Struthio camelus: one gene and its partner. The protein of the gene in region 1 interacts with the protein of each later gene in a pairwise test. Links are inferred from orthologs where the notes say so. Each region holds a gene or a part of one and is shown on either strand. Other genes may lie near its edges.

Region 1 (7,961 bases):
AGGACTTTCAGCCTAGCTTCCCATTAAATAGAGCATGGCTTTTCATGGTGGTGGAAGGCCGAGAAAGCAGACACAGAGAAGGGATTTACAGTACTCCATCAACAGGGGCTTGCTGGGAACCAGCTAGCTCACAAGACCATTTTCCTCTTGCATTTTCCTCCTTCCTTTTCTCAAAAAATGTGGGTATCTCTCAGCACTCTCACAAAAGCTTTACAAACGTGCAGCCAAAATACCTTTGTGTGCATCTTCTGTCCTTGCCTCTAACAAACACCAACAATAGCCTTTTCCCACTTCAGCTGCGGATTCTCGCTGAAGAAAGGCAAGCTGAGCCTTCCCCATCTGTTCTCTGTCCTGGCATCCTGTCCCTCCTACTCAAAGGCATCACCAGGGCTCAGCACTGGTCCCCATCTCTTTGCAGTCCAAAGAGAACTCCACTAAGGACACAGACCTCCAGCAGGCAGCATCTGGCCTGCTCGTCCCATTTTTGGGGATCAGGCCATAACTGATTCAGTCAGGCCGATTCAGTCTGTGCCATGCTCCAGCTTTCAGCTGTTAGATTTAACTAGGTCAATTTAGTCACTGATTGAAACTGATTGGTAGATGAAAAACGCTCCAGGGAAGTTCATTTCCTTTTTCAATCTACAAACAGAAACAATCCAAGATGACTAGATCTACTCGCCTTGAGCCTAAGGAACAAGGCAGTCGGATCACTAAGCTGCAGATATGGCTGCCGCAGTAGAAACAGTCAAATTTGTGAGAACTTTTTATAGGCAATATCTGTATGTCCAGAGCATTTATGGTAATTTATTTGAACATATTTGAGTACTTAATTTATACTGAACATAAGTGTCTGAGCTATGGTAAGACGGAAGCTCAAGTGTTAGCATTTCAGCAGCTCACTGACAGCTCCCTAGTAGCTTTGGGCTTCAGTTCTTTGCCTGTGAGCTGTTTCATAAAGGAGAGACCGGATCACCTGCTCCAGGACTTAGAAACCAGCTAAAGCAAACCTAAACGTCACATAGAATTAGAACAAACCATAGTTACGTCTGTACAACCAGCAGACGACCTCTTTGGAAAGAGTAAAGCCCTTTTCTTTGCACGATATTTGTGCAATGGTCCCTAAAAAAAAAACACTACTGCTGCATTCAGAACAACAAATAATAAATCCCAGGAAGAGTGAGTCACGGGACATAAAGGGAACATGTAAGCTTTTTTTCCTCTTCCTCTCTTCCTGCAGCAGGAGCAGCTAACTCGTGCCTGCCCTCTACCTGGGGTCAGACACGTGATGTAAATCGTGCCATCCTGCAGACTGCCAATTCCTTCCCAGGGATGAGGTTGACCGTACACATATCACTGTCTGTGCAGCTGACATCTTTAGTTTGCTGTGCCTTTAGGTGTCGGGCATTAGATTCCCGAGTTCCACATTCACATCGGAGAACAGACAATTCTGTTTCTCGATAAAGAATCTATTAGTTGGGACCAGTGTATGCATTACATGGTGATTCCCAATTCTTACCAGTCATCTCCTGGCAGCAGACAAATCAAGGATGGCAGCGTTGCCCCAGCAGTCTCTTCATTAAAAAAATATATATATAACTTAAAAATTTCACCTTGACCTGGATATTAAGATAAAACTTTCTACCCTGTTCATCGTCTTCCATTTTCTTCAATTAAAAACACCTGCCCCAAACCAGCAGAACGGGAGACCAGATTCTTATTTAATGCAAAATGGTTTGCACATGAAGCTACAAGACCATTAAAAAAAAAAAAAAAACACAGTTACACTTAAAGACATAAGACATGAACTTAAAAATCCAGACAGTCTGGCACAGCTAGATAACATTATGATTCAGCGTCAAGAATGCTTTGAAAGTAACAGGTAATTTCTGGGTAGGGTAGAATCTTCAAGTTGGTCCTAACACTGCTCATAACTAGATGGCAGAAGAACGAATCTGTTTATTTCTGTGAGCTGAGAAGATTCAGAGGCCACCCACGCGCAGAAGGGAGCACAGGAGTTGCAGCAACATTGAGGGCAGACAAGGCATCTCACCAGCACGTAGCCGTGGGGGAGAGGACAGGGAGAGAAACCCGCGGAGCAGACCGAAGTGCCGCCATCCGGCAACGAAGCACGCTCTCGCTCCAAGCCCTGCTAACTCAAGGCGAGCAGGGCATTAGAGCCACGGATTTCCCAGCTCCAGCTAGTCACATCGCCTCTCTGCCAGGCCCCTCCTCTAGGCATAAGGCAAGAATGAGATCCGTGAGATCTCAGAGTCGTTTGGGGTCATTTCTCCAGTTATGGACGGGGGGGGGATCTGTGATGGGTGTCCGCAGGCTATGGACCTGACAGTGCTTTGTGCAGGAAGGGCCGGGAGCTGTCACCGCTTGCAGCACGCCGTTTGCTAGGGCGTTCCCGAGCGGGCTGCTAGCCTCCGTTCAGTACTTTGAAGCGCCAGTGCAGAGCATTACTGGAAGCTCCCGGAGCAAGGGGGAAAGGGCAAAGGGAGCCAAACGCCCTGGGACGTCTGCCGTGGGAGGCAACCGAGAGTCCCGGCTCCCGCTTCCAGCTCAGCCGGTCTCAGCCCCAGGCCTCCAGGCGTAGCCAGGCCTCAGCAGACACCTCGGGTTTCGAGGGAACCACGAGGGGAAGGTTTTCCTCGCCGTACCTGGCCTTGCCCGTCAGGCGCGGAGGGACAGGGGCTGGAGGCGTAGGCGGTTGGAGGCTGCGCGGCCGCGCTCCAGTAGCGGGGCGCGTACCCAGGGTACGGTGTCTGCTCCTAGAGGGCGGAAGGAAGGAGACTCGCTTTCTTGTAGCGGCGAGCGGGAGGCCGCCCCTTCCGGGAAGGGGGGCACGGGCGAGAAGCGGCGGCGGCGGCCCTGGCGCGCGGCGACCGCCCCGACGACAGGGCGCTCCGTGGCTGGCTCGCAGCGCTGGCGCCCGCCCGCCTGCCTCGCCCCCCGCCCGCTTCTCCCTCGCCGACCCTCCCCGGCGGCTCCCGGCCCCCGCCGCCCGCCGTTACCTGCGCGCCGCCCGGGCGCTCCCAGCCGCCGCCCCCCGCCGCGGCCGGCGGGCAGTAGGACCCGGGGGGCCACGACGGGCCCTGCGCGGCGCCGCGGCCCGGCGGGCACCCGCGAGGCTCCATGGTGGGCGCCGCTGGGGCCGCTACCGGGCCGGACGTCGCCGCCGCTACCGCGCCAATCGCCTCGCGGCGCGGCCGCAACACCCGCCAATGGGCGGCGAGCGCCCGCGGATATCCCGCCCGCCTCTCCGCCGGCAGCCAATGGGATGAGCCCCAAGGGCAGCGGCGGCGCCGCCCCCGGCGCGGCTTAAAGGGGCAGGGGCCGCGGGGGGCGCACCAGGCACCGGCGCCCCTCGCCCCCGCTCCCGCCCGCGGCAGGGCGGCCTGGCCGGGGGCGTGGCCGCGACGAGGCCCCGCCCAAGAGCGGGCGTGGCCGCGACGAGGCCCCGCCCGGAGGCGTGGCCGCGGGGCGGTTCCGGCGGCGCATGGCGGCGCTTCCGCTCGGCGCGGCGGCAGCGGCGGCACCATGAACTACATGCCGGGCACGGCCAGCCTCATCCAGGACATCGACAGTGAGTGTCGGCCGCCGCCCTCCGCGCCGCCCCCGCGGGGGGGAGACGGGAGCCCCCGGGCGGGGACCTCGTGTCGGGCGGGGGAGCCGCGGGTGGGCCCCGGCGTGGGGCGGGTGAGCCCCCCAGACCCCGCCGTGGGCACCGACCCCCCGTGGGTCGGCTGAGTCCTCTAGGGAGCCTCCTGTGGGCCTCCCCGGAGCCCCCCCGTGGGCACTGACCCCCCGTGGGTCGGCTGAGTCCTCTAGGGACCCCCCCGTGGGCCTCCTCAGACCCCCCCCGTGGGCACTGACCCCCCGTGGGTCGGCTGAGTCCTCTAGGGACCCCCCCGTGGGCCTCCTCAGACCCCCCCCGTGGGCACTGACCCCCCGTGGGTCGGCTGAGTCCTCTAGGGACCCCCCCGTGGGCACCGACCCCACGTGGATCGGATGAGTCCTGTAGGGAGCCCCCTGTGGGCCCCCTCAGAACCCCTCCGTGGGCACCGACCCCACGTGGGTCGGCTGGTTCCTCTAGGGACCCCCCCCGTGGGTACCGACCCCACGTGGATCGGATGAGTCCTGTAGGGAGCCCCCTGTGGGCCCCCCAGACCCCCCCCCGTGGGCACTGACCCCCCGTGGGTCGGCTGAGTCCTCTAGGGACCCCCCCGTGGGCCTCCCCAGACCCCCCCCCGTGGGCACTGACCCCCCGTGGGTCGGCTGAGTCCTCTAGGGACCCCCCCGTGGGCCTCCCTAGACCCCCCCGTGGGCACCGACCCCACGTGGATCGTCTGAGTCCTCTAGGGAGCCCCCCCGTGGGCCTCCCCAGACCCCCCCGTGGGCACTGACCCCCCGTGGGCTGGCTGGTTCCTCTAGGGACCCCCCCGTGGGCCCCCCAGACCCCCCCGTGGGCACCGACCCCCCTTGGGCTGGCTGAGTCCTCTATGGAGCCCCCTGTGGGCCCCCCATACTCTCCCCCGTGGGCACCGACCCCCCTTGGGCCGGCTGATTCCTCTAGGGAGCCCCCCGTGGGCCCCCCAGACCCCCTCCGTGGGCACCGACCCCATGTGGGTCGGCTGAGTCCTCTAGGGAGCCCCCCCGTGGGCCTCCCCGGACCCCCCCGTGGGCACTGACCCCCCGTGGGCTGGCTGGTTCCTCTAGGGACCCCCCCCGTGGGCCCCCCAGACCCCCCCGTGGGCACCGAACCCCCTTGGGCTGGCTGAGTCCTCTATGGAGCCCCCTGTGGGCCCCCCATACCCTCCCCCGTGGGCACCGACCCCCCTTGGGCTGGCTGATTCCTCTAGGGAGCCCCCTGTGGGCCCCCCAGACCCCCTCCGTGGGCACCGACCCCCCTTGGGCCGGCTGATTCCTCTAGGGAGCCCCCCGTGGGCCCCCCAGACCCCCTCCGTGGGCACCGACCCCATGTGGGTCGGCTGAGTCCTCTAAGGAGACCCGGGTGGGCCCCGGCGTGGGGTGGGTGAGTCCCCCAGACCCCCCCGTGGGTCAGCTGAGTCCTCTAAGGAGACCCGGGTGGACCCCGGCGTGGGGTGGGTGAGTCCCCCAGACCCCCCCGTGGGCCCCGACTCCCCGTGGGTCAGCTGAGTCCTCTAGGGAGCCCCCCCGTGGGTCCTGGCATGGGGTGGGTGAGCCCCACGTGGGTCGGGTGACCCCCCCCCAGACCCCTCCCGTGGGCCCCCGCTCGGTGGCCCTGGGGCTGCCCCCCCGCTGGGGCAGCGGTCAGCGCCGCCGCGGCTGAGCGGGCTCTGGGCTCTCTTTCAGAGAAGCACCTGGTGCTGCTCCGGGACGGCCGCACGCTGATCGGGTACCTGCGCAGCATCGACCAGTTCGGTACGTGTCGCCGGCCGCGCTCGGCTGCTTTCGCCGCTCCGTTTGCGGGGCGGTTGGGGGGGGGGGGGGGGTTGGCTTGGTCCGCGCTCAAACCTTGCTGCCAGCCAGGAGAGGAGCCGGCGCCTCCTGCCCCACGGCAGGAGCCGTTTCTGAGCAGTCCGTCCGCAGCCGGGGCACGCGCGGCACCGAGCTGTTTCCTGATTTTTGGATATGTTTCCAGAAAGAGCTTTAAAAACACTGTTTGGGGTTACAGAGAGAAAACAGAGGGGGGGACGTTTAGGTGGTTTTCTCGCTCGCGATGCGCCGTCTGCGCTCTGCATCAAACCCGGGTGTCCTTACTGGCGACTCGGCAGCCCTGAACGTGGTTTGTGCTGCCGCTCTGGCTTGTCGCTCGCCGCAAGGAGGAGCCAGGCCCCGGCGGGCAGGGTGCGCGAGGGGACGGGGCAGGGGACGCGTGGGGCTGACAGCAGGGTCCTGGGCCGGCGGTGAACTTGCAGGAGACACCAACGCTGGGGCTGTGCGCGGAGCAGAAGTTCAGCCGCGCTGCGCCTCTCTGCTAGGGCCGTTGGCAGGTGGTGCCTCTCCGCCCGTCCCCCGCTGCGTAGCGTCAGGACAGGGAAAATACGGCTGGCTGCCGTGTGAAAACGCAAGCGGAGTTTTTTGGTTCTGGCCCGAGTGAAGCTCTGCCGCTGTCTCCAGCCCTGCGGCCGTGCTGCAGCAGCTGTTTGGGCTCGTCCTCTTGCAGCGTTCGAGGGACCGGTCTCCAGGTGGAAACGTTTGCACCAGCTCTTCCTGAGAGTAGTGGTTTTTGCACGTTTGTGGTTCTGCGCGAATGCCCAAATCTGGCAAATTCCCTACTCTTTTCCTCCTCCTTGCCCCCACCAGAAAGGGCTTTGCAGGGGTGAGGCACCTGCCAGAGGATCCTCGTGGCAGAGCAGAGGCCTCTGAATCGGGCTGCGCGGCGCTAGGTGAGATCGGGAAGGCTGTCAAGGGAGCCGCACGCTTGCGTGTTTGGCTGAAACAAGGGAGAGGCGAAGAGTTTAGCCTGGACTTGGCGCGATCCAGGGCAAGTATTAGTTGTGTGTTCAGGGTCTGCTCTCCCTGTTCACTTAAACAGGAGTAAAATCAGCCCACGGTCTGGGAGCCTGGTCGCAGCGTGGGCTGTGTCTGGGTCAGGCAGACAATGCTTTTTGCATGTGCCAGTTGTGAGCAGAATTACATATTTCCTTGACTAAAAACAATCTTAAGTTCTAATGAAAAAGGTGCTTGCTGTGCATAGAATGATATGATTTGAAAGTCAAGCTTTAAAGCTTGTTTGTGTTGTGTTTTAAAAATTCACTTAGGTGTTCCTCTTCTATGGGAGCTGGCATTGTAAACATCCTTTCTGAGCATGTACCCCCTCTTGTTTATGCGAAGGGTAGCTGCAGGGTTTTTTTTTCCGGATTAGGCAACTTATTGCAAAAAACAGATTTACGAGGTCTCTGGCTTTATAGATAATGCATCTAACCTTGGTTGCTAATTGGAGAAGTATCTGTTCTCTGTCAATCACTGCGGTTTAAACAAATACATCAGATGTGATTTGGTGGTTTACTGAAACTTCTTGTAAAAGCTGTGTGGCTGTTTCCCTCCCCTCTGCTCCCCTTCCCTTCCCCTCCCCTCTGCTTCCCTTCCTCCTTCATGATTTTGTCAGATGTTAATTTGATGCTCTAACTTCTCTTCTTGTGAAATCAGCATTTGAGAAGTATCTCTCAACAGCCTGGGATTTTTGTGTTTTATGTCTGTGCTTAAGATAAAACGTCTTAGTCCTTGCCCCAGAATCTACGGCACCAAAGATAACATCGTTTTCCCCTTGGCCCTGACTCTCATGCTGTCAACACATGGTGTTTGGGTGAATAGCAACCCTATCAACAGTTTGAGTTTCCTGGTTCTGTTTCCGACGCTGCTGCTGCTGCTTCTCCCTGTTCTGAGCTTGCTTGTCCCATCTCTGTCCTGTGTGCACAGGCCGTAAGAAGGAGTCCCTGCCCTCAAGCTCCTGTTCTGCCCATGCTGCAGCTCCTAGCGCAAGGAACTGGGGTTTCAGCTGCTGCCTGGAGGTGGCTGTGTCGATTGCTAAAGCTGAAGTGCAGCAGCCGCGTTTCAGTAGGGGAGAAATCTGGTTCCTTTCATGGTCTGGTTCAAAGGATCTGCCAAGAAGCAGTGGAGGTGCTTATCAGTGACCATGCCATCTCAGCTGTGGGTGTGTTGCCTGGCTCAGATGAGATGTTCTCTTTAGCTAGAAACAAAGTGAAAGATGGATGTTTTCTTTTTCTCTTGATCGCTGCAGCAAACTTGGTGTTGCACCAGACTGTGGAGCGCATTCACGTGGGCAAGAAGTATGGGGACATCCCTCGAGGCATCTTTGTTGTGAGAGGCGAGAACGTTGTTCTGCTGGGGGAAATAGTAAGTAAGCAGCTCTTTCTGCCTGGCTCTCTTGTCTACTGCTGGCCTGGAGCAATGGCTCAGTTGTGGTCCAGGGTTAAATAGCTGGTGATATCTGTAGCTACAATTACTCC
Region 2 (8,180 bases), on another chromosome or scaffold:
GTCTTTGACTACTTTATGTTAGTTTGAGTCCCTGTTTCTTGAATTTCCCTGGTATCTTCCCAGTACACATATATGCCCTGGAGTGAAACAACTGGTGCAGCAAATAAACAGACTCTCAAGCCCAACTGGGGACTGGCTTGCACAAGCTCTGCCTCACAGGCTAGGCCACACAGCTGCCTGAGCCACGTGGCTTGGCAAATGCAATCCCAGCTACTAATGGCACAAACAGGCAGACATAGGTGCAGTTCCCCAGCATTTAAGCCAATCTAAGTCCACGGTGCTAGGATCCTGTCTCCTTCTTTGTGCTAATCTTCATGCTTGTGCAACTCAGGGAACAGATCCAACACCAAATAAACTACTGCTTTCTCAGATCAGCTCTATGAACTGAATCACTGTGTAGTTGTACAAGCATCTGTAGAAGCAGAAGGGCAGGGGCAGGAATGAATGGCCAGGAACAAGGTATGATATGAAATTGGGATTACCTGATCTTTAACTGCCTTTGAACTGCAGGCATCAGCTTCAAGTATCTCATTCTACAGACACCAAGAGTCTAAATGACCAGTAGTTCTCATGGATCAGAGAATAAGCGCTCACAGGAAAAATTCCACCTATGCTCTACAAAACTTCTGAGTAAAATAGCAAGCGCAAATTAGTATGAGGTAATGGATGGCATCCCCTTTCCTCTTTAGGTTAAAATCACCCTAGCAAACCTAATTCAATTTGCAAATGGAACGTATCCTCCGTTTTTCAGTGAAAACTCCAATGCACATCTTAGTCACTACAAAATTATTTGCAGGAATTTTGTTCTTCTGTTCCCTAGACAGCATGATGCTGGGAGTGCAAACTGCAGAGGACACTGACTTTCAGTGATACATTAAAAATACCACGCTGGAATCACACATACCTGCTCCATACTGCGTTCTTTTAATCTCTGGCCTTCTGGCAGTCCTCATGTTCCGACAACCATTCCAGTGATTTCTAAATTTTCTTTATTCTAGAAAGCAAATGAGTAGAACAGGATCCTACAGAAGTGAAATTCAGCACTCATGCAATTAAAAGTCAAAAGAATCAAATGTAAAACCTGCTGTTCCATGATCCGGGACATATAGTATTTTAAGACAGCTGTGGCTCCTGTTGGCATGAAATCTTTCTTGTATTTATAATCCTTTCTCCTTTCTGAGCATGTTTACAACAACCAGGTAGCTGTATCAACCCTTCTTGCAAACAGCACTGTATTTAACATCTTCCACAAGGAGTACTAAAAGTGATGAAGTGTAAGAAGGGCTCCCTCTTGACAGGCCATCACTCTTGGACTTTTTTGAATAAGTAAACTGGAGGACAGATTCCATTTGACAGGCTAGTGAGATTAGGCCTGGTTTTACAAACTGCTGAGCATGCTAAATTCTCCTTGAAATTGGAAGTACTGTGCTGTTTTGCAATCAGGCCTACTACATTTTGGAAGGAGAAGAGCAGCAAGCTCTCCTCACTTTGAACAGTGCTTTGATAAGACAGAAGCTGGAACACATCAACATGAAATTAGTCCAAAACACTTCTTAAGAGTAAGAAGAGGTCAGCCAGTTTGCTTTTTTTTTTCTTGAGCAGTGTGGGTTTACTGTTACCTAATATGCAATACTCCTAACAAGCTCCATGCTTTGTTTAAATTGTGACTTCCTTAAAGCACAGACAAGAATCATTGAGCAGGTTTTAGAATATACCACAAAACAGACACCCGTTGACTGGAGGAGTAAATTTTCCTCTACATAGACGTTAATTATCATAGTAAACCTCGATATAAGAATTTAACACACAGTACCATGGGGCCTGTACTACGGTTTCTCTCTTACACGAGGGTTAGAAAGACTAAGACTACTCCGCTTCATTTTTCTAAATACATATTTTACTCTGCTGAAGTTTGAGAGAACAAATAACGACAGTACAATTGGCTGCTGATGCATGGAGCATTTTCTTTAGAGTGCCTTACTTCAAGCTATGAGTGGATGGCTGAAAGCAAGGTCACAGCTGAGGTACAAACACTGTAAACCTGAGCTAACTGCAAAATGAATGCGTGAACTTAACTCACCGTAATGGTGAGTTTATTTTGCAATTTGGGCAGAAAAATAGCATGCACATGGTGAGTTATTGCACCCCAGCTACAAAGGAGCAGTAATTTGCTAAACCACAGTACCTAGCTTAATATAAATTAATGACAAAGACAGGAACACATTCCAACATATTAAGTTCTATCCTAATTTTTTTTTATTTAAAACATTTCTTCAATAGCTGTCCTTATCTCTTCTCAGAAAGGTTTATTGATGTGTTAACCCTCCTCTGTCACACCTGATAAACCTAGCATCCGTCTTTTCATTCCAAAATCTTCCTATATCCATCAGCTGTCAGGGCCCTGAGAGCACTTACTGGCTTTAATTGCCCTGACCAGCCTCACCTGGGGCCTCCACTCACTCCCAAGCTGGGCCCTCGTTCCCTGCTGAGCTGCATCAGAGGTGCATTTTCTCCTAACCCTGGTCCTGAGTTGCTGCTTGGATTTCCTGGATGGACCTTAGACCTGGCCTGTTGCATTGCCTTTGGCAGGACCTGTTTGCTGTCACCACCCTGCCCTCCTCACCTGCCTCTGGCGCTGTGGAATTGCACCTGTTGATGATGTTGTTTCCTGGACTGTGTTTTGGCCATGCTCTGCTCCCAGCTCACCTGCCCTTAGGGAGCAGCAAGGGTAGGACAAGGCTAGTGAGGGCTGCTGAGGCCTATTGGATTCTTAGGGCCCTGACATCGGTTTTACTCCACAACATATCTCCCAAAATCAGATACTACCTCTCTTCCTTCCCCCCCCCCCCCCCCCCCAATCCTGCTGTCAGCATTACTTGCTTTTATCAACAATAAATGAGTTTCAGTGTGGCTCATTATGTCAAATGAAAACAATAGGGGGCTAATGAGCACTGTGAATGAGCCATTAACATGGCAATTAGAAGTATCCTTAAGAGTGCTAAATCTCTTCTGCCTCTTTCTTTGTACAATCAGCAATAAATGTAGATGCAACCTCATCTATTAAATCTAATTCAAAGAATAAGTATGTTTAGATGTCTAATTTGAGTAGTTTCTGTCAAAAAATATGTTGCTTTACACTTAACGCTTCTGGTTCAGCTTGTGCAACTGGTAAAGGATTATTATGTCCTTCAGTGGCCAAGATCATGTGTTATCAGATGTGATGTCTCACTTTGAAACTACAACACTGCAGGGTTTTCATCACAAAGGGGAAACGTACCTGAGATGAGAAATTTGCTGGTGACTTCGTCTTTGCTATTGATTTAAGGTGGCTTAACACTGCACGCTGCTTTGTTCAGAAGAAACCTTCACCTCCCACCTCAGCTCCTCTCTGATTCCCTGTTCCTTAGCTCTTGGGATGGTGTCATGTTGGGAGTTGATAAGCTCTTGCCCATGGCAGCATGTTTCCTCAGTCCTTGTAACAGGTGGGAAGATCAGCCTGAAACAGCATCAGAAAAATGTGTACTTAAAGGGCAGTAGGGAGGAGTGGGAACCTTATTGTATTCAGTGATGCTGAGCACGTATCTTTCAAAAGGCAAGGGTAGGAGAGGAACACAAGTATTTAAATGACTTTCAGAATTTGCTTTTTAAAGTGAGTATTTTAAAATGACTCATATCCACAGGTGATCTGCTGACCAGCTGTGGCAGCAGTGCAGCTGGGCTCCTGGAAGGGAAGGGTATGCCCCAGTGAGGCCCATCACCAGTGGGCCACCATTACAGGTGCCATGTGGCATTGCTTCGGGCATCAGAGGTATGAAACATCCATCCTGCCTCCAAAACATGACTGACTACTCATACACTACCACCCCTTTGTGATGCTTTGGTGAGTCATGAGACTAGTGTTAAAATAAACAATATATTTGAATAAGGCCCCAGCAGTTGGTATCAAGAGATTACCTGAGAATTTCAGGGTTTTTTTTCCTAGTCCTCAGAATTACAGTGGAAATTAACAGGCCCAGACAGCATAAAGCCAAGAGAAAGCACTCTGCAAGTATTTCTTAAGGACTCCTGATACCCTGATTTTCTATGGCTTGGCTTGTGACTTTCACATGTGGCAAGGCTGTAAGGAGAAAAGCGGAATGGAAAGGAATAGGTTGAGGTGACCAGTTCAGCAAAAGCATATTGTAAAAAATAAGGCAGTTTAAGTGTCGGCAGATGATGGTGACAGGAACTCTGGTCTTTTTGCTTCTGTCCTCCCTCAGTTTCCTCGCCTTATTTTCTTGTCTCGGTCCTAGACCGCCTGCCCTAGGTACCTTTTGCTTCCTTCGCTTACAGCACGTCTCAAACGGTCCCGCGGGGACCCTGCCACTGTGCCAGCCTTCCTGGGGTTGGGCAGCTCTTGCCCCACCACCCCGAGGGGTCCCAGCTCTCCGGGCGCCAGGCAGGCTGCCGCCGGGTCCCGGCTGCCGTCGGGACTGACACCAGCACGCAGCAGGGCTTGCGTTACCCTGCTTCAACCTCAGAAACGTCTTCCTAGTGCGCAACTGCAACGGTTAAAAATAAACGAGTCAGATTTTCCTTCAGGCGAGCGAGCGGCAGCAGATTTGCCCAGGGAGCAGGGCAAGCGGGCGCGGGCCATACCCGGTACGGTTTGCGGGCCCCAGAAGCTCTACAGCCGCGTTAACCCGAGCCTCCTGGGCTAATCAGTTCTCGTGAGAAAAGACATTTAAGAAAAAGGCCATCTTGGTGTTTTCTTGCTTTAAGAAAAAAAAAAATTTGCGTTCTCGATCTTCTTTTTTTGATAAAGAACCGGCCTTAAAGAGCTGCGGCGATTTCTCCCGCGGAGGGGGCTGCTTCCTCCTCACCGCAGAGGAAACTCAGGGAAGGAAACCGAAGGAGACAAAGTAGCTAGCGAGAGGGGACAGTAGCAAGCTCCCAGTGCAGCCCGCCGCCATCGCGGGGGGGGGGGGGGGGGGGGGGAGGACGGCGCCGCCCAGGCCCCTCAGCGCGGCGGCCATTTTGTCCGCTCCGCGGCAGCGGCGGGGCGGGACCGGGCGCCCCCTGGCGGCCCCCCTCCCCCGCCGCCGCTCCCCCTGCCTCGCCGGCCGCACGGTTAGGCGCGGCGGGGCCCTGCCGCCGGCCATGAAGTCCGTGTTCGTCACCGTGGGCACCACCAGCTTCGAGGAGCTGATCGCCGCCGCCTCCTCGCCAGCCGCCGTGCGGGTGAGGCAGCGCCGAGCCCTCTGGCCTGGGCCTCCGCCCGCCGCGCCGGGCCGGGTCGGGCCGGGCCGCCGGGCGCACGCGCACTGCGGGCCCGCTCCCCCGCCCGCCCTGGGGCCGGCGACCCCGGCGGGGGGCGGGGAGGAGAGAGGCGGGATTTGGGGGGCTGTGAGGGGAGAGACGGGATTTGGGGGGGCTGTGAGGAGAGAGATGGGATTTGGGGGGCTGTGAGGCGGGATTTGGGGGGGCTGTGAGGAGAGAGATGGGATTTGGGGAGGCTGTGAGGAGAGAGGTGGGATTTGAGGGGGCTGTGAGGTGGGATTTGGGGGGGCTGTGACGCCAGGCAGGATTTGGGGGCTGTGAGGCGGGATTTGGGGCTGTGAGGCAAAGCAGGATTTGGGGGGCTGTGAGGCAAAGCAGGATTTGGGGGCTATGAGGCAAGGTGGGATTTGAGGGGGCTGTTAGGCAAAGCGGGGTTTGGGGGGGGCTATGAGGCAAGGCAAGATTTGGGGGCTGTGAAATGCAGGATTTGGGGGGCTGTGAGATGAGGCAGGATTTGGGAGGGGCTGTGAGGCAAAGCAGGATTTGGGGGCTGTGAGGTGGGATCTAGGGGGATTATGAGGCAAGGTAGGATTTAGGTCTGTGAGGCAAGGCAAGATTGGGGGGCTATGAGGCAGGATTTAGGGGGACTTGGGACTATGAGGCAAGGCGGGATTTAGGGGGGCTGTAAGGCAAGGCAGGATTTGGAGGGGCTGTGAGGCAGGGGGACTTGGGGGGGCTATAAAGCATGAGGCAGGGGGTGGCGTGTGCCCCCTGGCCATGGCAGTGGCCCTGTGCCATGGGGTACCCAGGAGCAGAGCTGGGGTCAGCCCAACCAGGTGCCCACCAGGGGCAGCCCCACCACAGGTGCTCCGCTCTGCGGCTCGCTGCTGAGCACTGTTGCCGCTCTCCCTCCTGCCGCAGGTGCTGCAGAGTCACGGGTACCGCAAGCTGGTCCTCCAAATCGGCCACGGGGTGCAGGAGCCGGCCCCGGTGAGCACCCCGGCCTTCACGCTAGAGGCCTTCCGCTTCAAGGACTCGCTGGCTGAGGACCTGCGGAGAGCAGACCTGGTCATAAGCCATGCAGGTAGAGCGCACTGGCAGCTGAGTGCCGTGCAGAGAGTTTGCCAAGCCTGTTCTCGTGTGGGTAGATGTGAAAGTCGGTAGCGTGGGCAGCTTCCGTTTCTGTAATTCTCTGACTCTGTTAGCATTAAAAGTTCAGGTCCACAGCTAGAGTTAAATGGATTAAATGCTCAGGTTCAGGAGTCTCTCATGTTGCAAGAGCCAGTAGGATGAAGTTTGATCTATAGGTGAAAGCACTGATCATGTTTTTTGTTTCTTCTGTAGGTGCAGGTAGCTGTTTGGAGACGCTAGAAGAAGGAAAACCACTAATAGTAGTAATAAACGAAAAGCTGATGAACAACCATCAGCTTGAATTGGCAAAGCAACTCCACAGAGATGGACATGTCCTCTATTGTAATTGCAGGTATGAAGCAGCTGTGGTGATCCTGACTGAACAAGAGGTATTCAGTACCGTAGCTTGGTCATTACAGTATTGAGAACGTAATAAGTAAATTCACATCCTTCTCTGTAACAAAATCACATTGACCAAATACCACAATTAACTTCCCCACCTAAGTAGTAAGGGCAGGACAGACATTTCAGGAAAGCTAGTTTTTTGTTTGTTTGCAAGGCATGTTTTTCCATAGTAGATAGATCAACAGTTGGTGCTGTCTCCACCAAATCTACCAAGCCTTTTGTCTGAGATTAATTTTAATGTAACTTTTATTTTGAGGTCACATGTTTCCAGTTTAAAAAAAATAAAAAAAGCAGTCTAAACCATGGTTGAATTTGAGTGACAGGTAACTGTCAGGTGGCATCCTAGGGGTACCTAACAACTCCTCTCTTACTCTGCCCTCCCTTTCTCACCTCTTAATTCTTTCTCAAAGCTAGAAATAATACTGCCTAGTTCCCAACCATGAACTATAAGAAATATATTGCTCCCTGCAGACTTAGTAAAATGAAAAAAACGGAGTTCTATGTGGGTTTTCTTTGTGAGGGGCACTAGAGATGACTGTATGGATACCTTCATTTTTTATTATATCTATGCGTCTCGAGTATTTAGAACAAAACATGAAAACGGCCTTACTGATTCAACTCAGGAGGCTATATAGCTCAGTAACGTGTGTGCAGTGGCCATACACAGATACCTAGCAAAAAGTAAGAACAGGAAATGGGACTCTCTTCTATGACTTTCCTTCTAATACCCTAATGCTTCAGGGTTTTCCTAAATTAGATGTTGGTTGGTTGGTTGGTTAGTAACTTTCATTACATCTGTCTTCCAAGTACTTACTCAGGCTACTCTCTTAACCAAACTTCCGGCATCCACAACATCCTTTGACAGAGTTTGACAGATCTACTGCATGCCACTTAGACAAAAAAAGGCCTTTTTGTTTGTTGATCCTGGGCCCTGTTAGTTTCATTTGATGCTCCTTTATTTCAACTGTATCTTCCCATTTCTCTTCATGAATGTGATTTATGGCACTCCATAAATAATAGATGACCTTTAAATTGAAGGTAGGGGAAATGCACCTCACATTATTTAGTCTGCATCTTGTTCCTTTGCCCTGCAAATAGGATTCTGTTTCAGAAGAGCCTTCCAAAAAGACCAGACCTTTCATTAATTTACATTAGGCCAGTTTCTTAAACTTATTTTCTCAGTGCTTCTGACCACTTCAGAGGTAGGAAGGGATTTTTATTTCTTTGTTGAACAGTATTTTAGCTTTTCAGCCTTATTTGCAGTCTGAAAATTGCAAGCTAATGGATTGATTTAGCTGTCTTTTCTGGCTATGTGTTAAGTGGTTACTTATGTGTTGAAATAGGATGAATTTCCTAATACAGTTTATGGCAGCGATCCTCAAACC

The links.
Region 2: the proteins of BAG4 (region 1) and ALG13 interact in binary tests that used the Homo sapiens proteins (3 or more experiments, as listed by UniProt). The link is inferred for Struthio camelus from reciprocal best matches to the Homo sapiens genes BAG4 and ALG13.

The regions. Positions count from the first base shown.
Region 1 is NC_090968.1:7,093,020-7,100,980, reverse strand, and holds the start of BAG4 (BAG family molecular chaperone regulator 4), read right to left. Parts: upstream 3,156-7,961; 5' UTR 3,141-3,155; coding exon 3,018-3,140; intron 2,946-3,017; exon of another isoform or gene 2,775-2,945; coding exon 2,664-2,774; intron 2,253-2,663; exon of another isoform or gene 2,116-2,252; coding exon of another isoform or gene 2,051-2,115; intron 1-2,050. Other genes in the region: G protein-coupled receptor kinase 5-like, read left to right, coding at 3,544-3,589, 5,341-5,409. UniProt on the Homo sapiens protein: Inhibits the chaperone activity of HSP70/HSC70 by promoting substrate release. Prevents constitutive TNFRSF1A signaling. Negative regulator of PRKN translocation to damaged mitochondria.
Region 2 is NC_090952.1:8,239,303-8,247,482, reverse strand, and holds the start of ALG13 (UDP-N-acetylglucosamine transferase subunit ALG13), read left to right. Parts: upstream 1-5,026; 5' UTR 5,027-5,139; coding exon 5,140-5,220; intron 5,221-6,180; coding exon 6,181-6,343; intron 6,344-6,603; coding exon 6,604-6,742; intron 6,743-8,180. UniProt on the Homo sapiens protein: Catalytic subunit of the UDP-N-acetylglucosamine transferase complex that operates in the biosynthetic pathway of dolichol-linked oligosaccharides, the glycan precursors employed in protein asparagine (N)-glycosylation.